2 linked regions of the Xenopus tropicalis genome follow. The protein of the gene in region 2 purifies or fractionates together with the protein of the main gene of each other region. This does not show direct contact. Links are inferred from orthologs where the notes say so. Each region holds a gene or a part of one and is shown on either strand. Other genes may lie near its edges.

Evidence for each region.
Region 1: the proteins of iars1 (region 2) and lars1 purify together in Homo sapiens (affinity purification with mass spectrometry; 7 studies listed by BioGRID and IntAct, counting the BioPlex papers as one, with this or other methods). This does not show direct contact. The link is inferred for Xenopus tropicalis from reciprocal best matches to the Homo sapiens genes IARS1 and LARS1.

Annotation. Positions count from the first base shown.
Region 1 is NC_030679.2:39,733,034-39,737,565, forward strand, and holds the start of lars1 (leucine--tRNA ligase, cytoplasmic), read right to left. Parts: upstream 3,104-4,532; 5' UTR 3,090-3,103; coding exon 3,084-3,089; intron 240-3,083; coding exon 121-239; intron 1-120. UniProt on the Homo sapiens protein: Aminoacyl-tRNA synthetase that catalyzes the specific attachment of leucine to its cognate tRNA (tRNA(Leu)).
Region 2 is NC_030680.2:124,224,703-124,228,528, reverse strand, and holds part of iars1 (isoleucine--tRNA ligase, cytoplasmic), read right to left. Parts: intron 3,641-3,826; coding exon 3,523-3,640; intron 3,164-3,522; coding exon 3,016-3,163; intron 2,848-3,015; coding exon 2,760-2,847; intron 2,223-2,759; coding exon 2,162-2,222; intron 1,685-2,161; coding exon 1,589-1,684; intron 199-1,588; coding exon 76-198; intron 1-75. UniProt on the Homo sapiens protein: Catalyzes the specific attachment of an amino acid to its cognate tRNA in a 2 step reaction: the amino acid (AA) is first activated by ATP to form AA-AMP and then transferred to the acceptor end of the tRNA.

The sequences.
Region 1 (4,532 bases), on a different chromosome or scaffold from region 2:
CAGAGATATCTTGTTTTGTATTTCACCAAGTATGTACACTGTATACTCTTTTATACTCTCAAATTGTTTATACACCAATTCAGAATAATGAACGCTATATTTAAAGCAAGTGCAATCTACCTGTTCTGAGCCTGCAAATCAGAAGCATTGACTTCAAATAGTTTCTGAGCATCCCATTTTTCCTGTATGTCTTTTTCAATCTTCTTGAGGAAATCAACTTTAGCTGTTCCTTTTCGCTCCTTTAACAGAAATTATAAGTATTAGAGGACAGTTATGCCACACACTAAATATGCATGACTATGTAGTATAAGCCCTAATAAAACGTGATGCAAACCTATAATTTAATAGTAAACAAAAGCCCGCGTTCCAGTGTGCCTTACTGCCATAATGCCCAAGAAAGATTTAATATTCAGTCTTACAAAATACTTACAAATTATCCTGCCTATCTACAATGGTGATGCACACTTCACAGAAGAAATGTTTCAGCTGGCTAAAAAGAGGTAACTCCTGTATTGCTAAGAACATTTGCCAGGTTATAGCCTTTTTACTATAAAACAATTTTAGCCACACGCAGTGTGCCAGAGTGTAATCTGGTAGAATTAACAGCAATTGCCCCAGCCAAAAAACCTGCAGTTAGATATATTGCTCTGGTGCTGTCCAATAGGAGAAAGCAAATATTCCCTATGTTACTAAGAAACACCTAGTCGTTATTGTGGCCCCTCAACAAGTATCCTGGGACACAGGGCCTTACAAAATGTAAAATATTGCTCCTCCATAGTTTTATGTTCTGTTACAGGTTTCCTGCTTATGCTGAACTTAACACAAACCGCTATTTTTATTGCTATGATAAATACTGCTCTTTAACCTTAAAACAGAGATCCCCAACCAGTGGCTCAGGGGCAACATGTTGCTCACCAACCCCTTGGATGTTGCTCTCGGTGCCCCCAAACCAGGTAGTTATTTTTTAATTCCTGACTTGGTGGCAAGTTTTTGTTGAATGAAAACAAGATTTACTACCAAATAAAGCCCCCTGTAAGCTGATAGTGTGCATAGAGGCTGCCTAATAGCCAATCTTAGCCCTTATTTGGCACCTCCATGAACTTTTATGGTGCTTGTGTTGCTCTCCAAGTCTTTTTACATTTGACTGTGGCTCATGAGTAAGAAAGGTTAGAGACCCCTGCATTAAAAGAAAAAAAAATAATAAAAGCACAAAGCCTCCAAACAGATCTTAGAACATTTCTATATGTTCTCCTTTTGAGTGTGATCAGCAAGCTATCTTTGGGTCAACTGATCTAGTGTAGCTAGTTTGAGTTCACTGTCTCAGACTACTGTTTCTATTAATACTCCTCCTCACTTTAATGAAAGCCACACAATGTTATATTGGGGTTGGACACAGAAATTTTGTTTTAAGAATTTATGTTCCCATATTCCATATAACAATCTTGTAAACAATGTGCTCCTGTTTCCTGGACACAAGGCAGGGTGGAACAGAGTACGTTTCTTGAAAAGATGCAAGTTTTAAGCTGGCCATACACGTGGCGATCTGACGATGTTTCGAAACATCGCCAGATCCGCCACACACAGTCAAGGCTGAAACAGCAGATAAGGAGGTAGAAACAATAGGATTTCTACCTCCTTCTGCCGATTCAGCCCTGACGGCAGATTTTGGTCAGGCGCCTTCTATGGCGCCCGATTGGCGAGTCGTCCGATATCAGCAGCTTCCTGCGATATCGGTCGACTCGCCGACATGCCATACACGCACCGAATATCGTACGAAACGAGGTTTCTTACGATAGTATCGGTGCGTGTATGGCCAGCTTTAGGGAGATAAAGTCTCCCTTGGTCAAGAAGCAGGCACATAAACCACACTAACTGGGCTGTATATTCATATAGGACAATTGCCCTATATTAAAATGAGGAGGACACCTTAAATGAACTTTAAGTTGTAGGTGCAAGCACATCTGACCTGGGTTGTTTTATTTATTGTTATTACTCTTATACTCTGCCTCTAGTAAAGTTTGGATTTAAAATACTTCCTAGTTATCAGTGACTCTAGAATTAATGAATCTCATTGACTAAATGATTATATTATTAACATCCCTAGCAAACAGCAACAAAAAAGTGAAAAAGCTAAATAATAAAAGAAGCAGCTATATCCCCACTGCCCAGGGATACAGCTGCCTGCATAATAATAATGAACTGGCACCATACAGAGCAAACGGATCCATCAGGGTGACAATTGTAAATCTAAGTGCAGTGTTTATATTTATTATAGATTCAGTCTTGAACTACAACTTTCAGAAGCCCATGCTGAGCATCCAATAACAAGTGAAAGCGGCCAGACACTCATTTATTAAAATAAGTTATTAAAATTTGTTTCTTTTTAAGATAAATGACACATTTGCAGACTGTGAGACTGTGTTTCTTGGACATGCCATTGTGAAAAGGGATCTTCCACAGAATATATTTTTTTTTTTTAGCACAATGTTGGAAAATGTTTTCAAAGAAACTTTCCTATGTATATTTGTACCGTATATGTGTATTTGAAGAAAATGTTAACTGGATTTGAAGTTATTTTTAAATGTAAATGCTACTAAAGGCAGGATCTGTACGACTGTTTATATATTTTGCACTGCTGGGTCTGACTTCTGAAACAATGTAGCAGATGTCAGATGCTTAACAGATCTGGAGGACTCCTATTACACTACTTTAAGGTTCAGTCAGCTGCTAGGAAAAAAGTGATCAGCAAATGCTGCTTTCCCTGGCAATCACACTTTCAAATAAGTAGAAACCCACTGAAAAGGTGCAAATAATGTATATTGGAAAGTTGGTTATAATTTTTCATTATGCCAAAAATAGTTTTTGGGGTGAACTTCCCCTTTAAAACTTCTCTCATTGCATTTATAGAGAAATTCTGGTTGCAAGTTAACAGCTGCACTGGGGATGCCCAATGAACACAGTGTAAGACGTGCTAATGTAGTCTACCGCCCCTTTCCAAACGAGACCGCTGCCATGCATTTAAGTGGCCACTATATCCCGACCAAAGACAAGGCGAACTAAAGGCATAACCATAGCACACTGACCGTCATGGTGAGTCTCTCCCAGCAGCCTCAGGCCCAAGCACAGCTACACACTGTCTCAGCTCCTTGACACACGTTGCCGGCTCCTAGATGGAAGCTTCCTGTTACGGGCGCAAGGCACGCTGGTCATTGTAGTTTTGCTTTCCATTTAGACTTCGTATAATGTTCCATCTTGAACGGCATTTCCCATAGTTCCCATACAGTGAGACGTCCACAACCATGTGGAAATTGCATCATCCGTAGCTTGACAGCCAGAGGTAGGGGTTCCTGGCTTAATATCAAAAATAGTTTTTGCGTTGGTGCTGCTTTATCAAATTTATGGGGAGTAGAAGGTGGATGAAATTTGAATACAGAAGTTAAAATGCTTTTAGGCTAAACCTGTAGAACGACGTTTTGTTTCTTCTTTAGGTGGCGCTCTAGTGTTAGTAACATGCTAAAGTTCCCTTTCCCTTCTAATCAGCTGTTAATTGTGGAGGAGTGTGATATTACACCTTTTTTCATGGGGACCTATCCCAAGAAAGTATTCATTAATTAGAGATTAAAGAGTTTATTGCAACTATAAGCAGTATTTGTTTTTCTCTTTTTGTTTTCTGGGTCTGGCTCTTATAAAAATGTAGGAGTGTGGTTTTTTTTCTAGGCCTGTTATGTGGCTTGTAACATTGTTTAAAGAGTCAGAGTCCAGAGTTTATTTAATATTGCATTTGATAATAATAAATAAATAACATTTACAATTATCTTGAAACCCCCTGATAATGTTTAATGAATGTATGTTGAACAGTTGGTTATCACTTTATTTCACTGTGGATGAAGCTCCCCTTTGAATTTCTATATATCTAAATATATATATATATATCTAAATATATATATAGAATGCAGAGTGGGGAGCACACCAAAATCTTAGGTACAATACCTGGGTGCCAGAGCAGCAAAATTAAATAGTCGAAAAAGTGTCGGCATTCACAGGATTCTCACGAAAATATTCACAGGCAGTACATCATGGTTGAATGCAAATAAAGTGAGGTTTATTGGTCCGGCTCAAAAATAGAAAAAAGGCAGGCACTCCGGTCAAATCATTAGTGGATAGCAATTGTTCATGAGAAGTGGAGGTAAAATCAAAAAAACTTTTTATTTAACACATGATACAAAGAGCCTTACGCGTTTCGTACCTCCTGGTACTTAATCATAGGCTGAATGAGAATTGATACATACAACGTATTTAAAACAACTTGAGCCAATGGTTATTCAAACTTAATTAGCTGATGTAGACTTAATTGACCAATCAAAAACCTGAAAGGTCAGTTGGTAATCAGACATGAATTTACAAATCAGTCTGAGGAAAAGGTACATGTGTTCAAACAAGGAAAGTTTTTTATAACAAACAGATCGTTAAGTTAATATATATAAGAGTAATAGTAGATGTAGAAAGAAGGGGCAATCTTTTTAATAGTAAAT
Region 2 (3,826 bases):
GTGAGATTGGGAAAAAAGGTGGGGAGAAGAGAGCGAGACACACACACATGCATAGGTGCAGATTCATTTTGTGACCTTGACATACTGTCCTGCAAAGTCAGTCACTTCCTTGGTGAAACAGCCAGATGCATCAACTGGGCACACAGGAACTGAATCCTTCTGGATGATATTGAAATCCATACAGACTCTGTAATCATCCTAAAAAGAGAAATTAGTATTATTTAAGTCATACTAGCAGTCAAAGCCTGTATAATGCAATACAAAGAAAGGCAGGGTTGCGTTGTTTTTACAAATGAATGATATAAGCAGGGTAAAACTGCTAAAAGCATATAAACTGATGGACAACATGCACATTTTCAGATATCTTTTGTGTGGACCCAGACTACTAAAAAAAAAAAGCCACATACCTATACCATTTACCAGTGCTGTCCATTTTATTATATGTAGTGGGGACATTATTTCTCATATAGCATGTTCAAGTGCTGGATTAAATTAAAAAAAATCACACAGTGAAGTCCATGGAGCCTCTGAGTAGACATGGGCCATAAAAATCCTCTGGAGTGCACACCCAGCCCACTGCCTCCAGTTGGACAGCAGTCCTGTATACCATAGTTATACCTATGGAAACCTATTAATGACCATTTACATTAGGCCTCTCTCAGGCTATGGAAGGTACGGAAAAGGGGTTTGTCCAGCTGGCATAATAGCTTAGAAAAGGATAAAACAGCTATATGGGCCAGCTATAATGGACAGGTCATTGCATTTATCCTCATTAAAGGTTTGGGCCATTGGTTTTAATTTGTCATGACTTTTGGAGACAACCCATTCAGAACTGCAAGCAAATCATGCAAAAAATAAATCAATTTAAAAAAAAAAAAAAATTTTCTTAAATCCTGCCAGGTTGCAACTGTCGGTTGAGTTGTTCTTGAGAAAGTCTCATATTTCTTCATCAAACTGTCCCCTTCCTAAGTCCATATCCTTTTTTCATAACACGTAGTAGGTGAATCATTAAACGAAATGAGGAAAACAAAAGAACTTTTTGTTTGATAAATTGCGGTAATAGGGAAACACTGCTTGCAGCATGGGGGCATATTCACCTCAGCTCATCAGAGGGGAACTCCCCAGTTTTTTTCACTTGTGCAGGATTTTAGGGGCATGTTTACCAAAGAGCGATTTTTTACTTTATTCCCCGTAAACCATAATTAGCTGTATTTTTACTGATTATCATGCCCCTACTGGTATAACAATCAGGCTTTTGTTGTGGAAGTACAGTATTAGGTCACAGCATTACATCTGCAGAACAGGGTTTCTGGAGACAGCACACTGGACATCGAACTGTACAAAAGAGCAGTTAGTCGAGGAAACCCTCAAAGCAATCTCTTACTTGGTTTACATAGAAAAGAGAAGTGTGAGAAAACAATATCATATTCTTTTACTCTTAGGAGTCTGTGATCCTATAACATATGCCCGCTGACGTCAAAAATAAATCACGGGAATTGAAGCCACCAGCAAACACATGATATCTTACTGCCACCTAGTGGCTATCGGTGGTATAATGCACCTTAATTAGAAAAAAAATGTTACTCACAGCTCCAAAGTAAGGTGCCTGGTGCACCACTCCTGTGCCTTCTTCAGACTTCACATAGTTATCAGTCACAACTGTAAATGCTCCTCTTTCTGATGCCTGTAAAAACATAGGAGTAAACATGAAATTTGAGATAACAACAGTACTGTGGAAGTAAAACAAAGCATATTTAAATAATCCTATTGTGGCTGTATAAAGCATATATAACCTATTTAATGGTAAGAGTTCATGTTCATGTCCATGTATTTCCCCTATAAATATGTGTAAACGAATGATGGCCCACTTAGTCTTTTTGCATAGAAATGGTTGCTGCTATATTACTTGACTAATCTGAAGAGAACCCGAGAATCCACTAACAACCACAGAAGCATCACCAACTTCCTGCTACTGGCATAGAGCCCTGTCAGCCTTGTCTTCCGCCTAGCAGTATTTATTTGAACAAATACAAAAGACACTTTGTGCTCAGTGTGCACTGCCTGGTGTAGAGAAAGCAATGATAGAAGGTAAACCCTGTGTATGAATATAATATGTGGTGATAAACACACATGTAGAACACATATATAACAAGAGATGTACCTTCTCAAAGTAGGGAAACAGTGGTTTGTATTTTTTTCCTTTGAGGTTATTGCCAGGAAATCTGTCCAGAGAAAAAAAACAAGTAAATAAACTAAATATAGATCTATGCCTTCAGAAAAGTTCTCTGGAAAGAACAAAAACTGCAACCTATACCTAAATAGAAGAAGCTATGTATCCAAGCTTACATTATCTTCCATGTAGTTTACTCATCAGATCAGTCCCACTATATTTTGACCCATGCAACTATGCCTAACTTGTAATCTGCAATCAGTTGATCCAACACCATCCTCCAAAATCTCCCATGTAGTTAAGCTCTTTTTTCTACCACTGTTATAAAATATATTTAAAGATACACTTATTCAATCAATAATGTAAAGATATTTATTTAATAACCAAAAAAGATTATTAATTATGCAAATTGTACTACTCTAAAGTTGATATAACATAAAACAATACATTTCTCTGTGTGTGTGTACACACACATACAAGATTGCCTGAAAATGTTACATATTAAGTTGGTAATTATTTATCACAAAACCCTGCAGTTTATGATTATTATCAGTAGTAGTAGTAGTAGTAGTAGTAGTAGTAGTTGTACCTTTCCAAAATGTCATATTCATTTTCAGCTTTGTACAGAGCAGACAGCCTGGCTTCCATCAGTATATACACATTTCCATTGGATTTATCTAGGAGACAAACAAAACTCATAAGTAGAACTGTAAGGCCTCCAAAAACAACTCACTGCTGCCATCATAGTCAATAGAACTGTGCTTTGGCTAACATAAAGGGGCGAAATTACAGGAGTGGACTCACTCCAAATAAGGATCTACAGGTACTGCTGCTTAAAGACTCACCTTTCAACTTAACATAGATCAGCTCTGGGTTAACACACAGGGCCAAGTTGCTGGGCAGGGTCCAGGGAGTTGTTGTCCATGCCACTAAAGATACACCTGAATCATCAAGCAATGGAAAGGTGACAATGACAGAGGGATCCTGGACATCCTGAAATAAATTAACAACGGAAAAGATGTAATTTAGGACACTGGAGACCAATAGTTGTATGTGTGCTGAGATTTAGTGCTTTGATATCCTTCTATGTTATTTGTCTAAGTCATAGGTGCAGATTTAGCAAAGTGTGAAATAATATAACAATAAAATGCAATCACTCTCTATTCGTTTCTATGGGATTTGTAAAGACCTATTTATTAATGGGTAAAAGCGAGAATTGACTTTGATAAATATGTCTCTAAAAACCCCACAGAAATGAACAGAGAAGGGTAGAATTTTACTATGGTGAGCTCTAAATTGACACTATGATAAATCTGTTCCTTACTGTAAGAGTTAATATTAAATCCTGTTACCTTGTAGTTCTGGTGGGACTCAAAGTTGGAGAGAGGAGTGTTGCAGGCAGTAGAGAATGGCATGACCTTAACACCTCGATACACTAGTCCTTTGTCATAAAGCTGTTTAAACACCCACCTAAAGTCCCAAACAAAGAACAAAAATATATAAAGGACAAGCAAGCTACTCCATGTAACTATACCATAACTGGTATAGGACACTGAACCACCTTGGATGTTGCTCATGTAAGCAAACTTAAAGATATTTTTTGTTGGTAAATAAGAAAATAGGCCCTGCGAGATTTAAAATATTAATGTTTCTTTT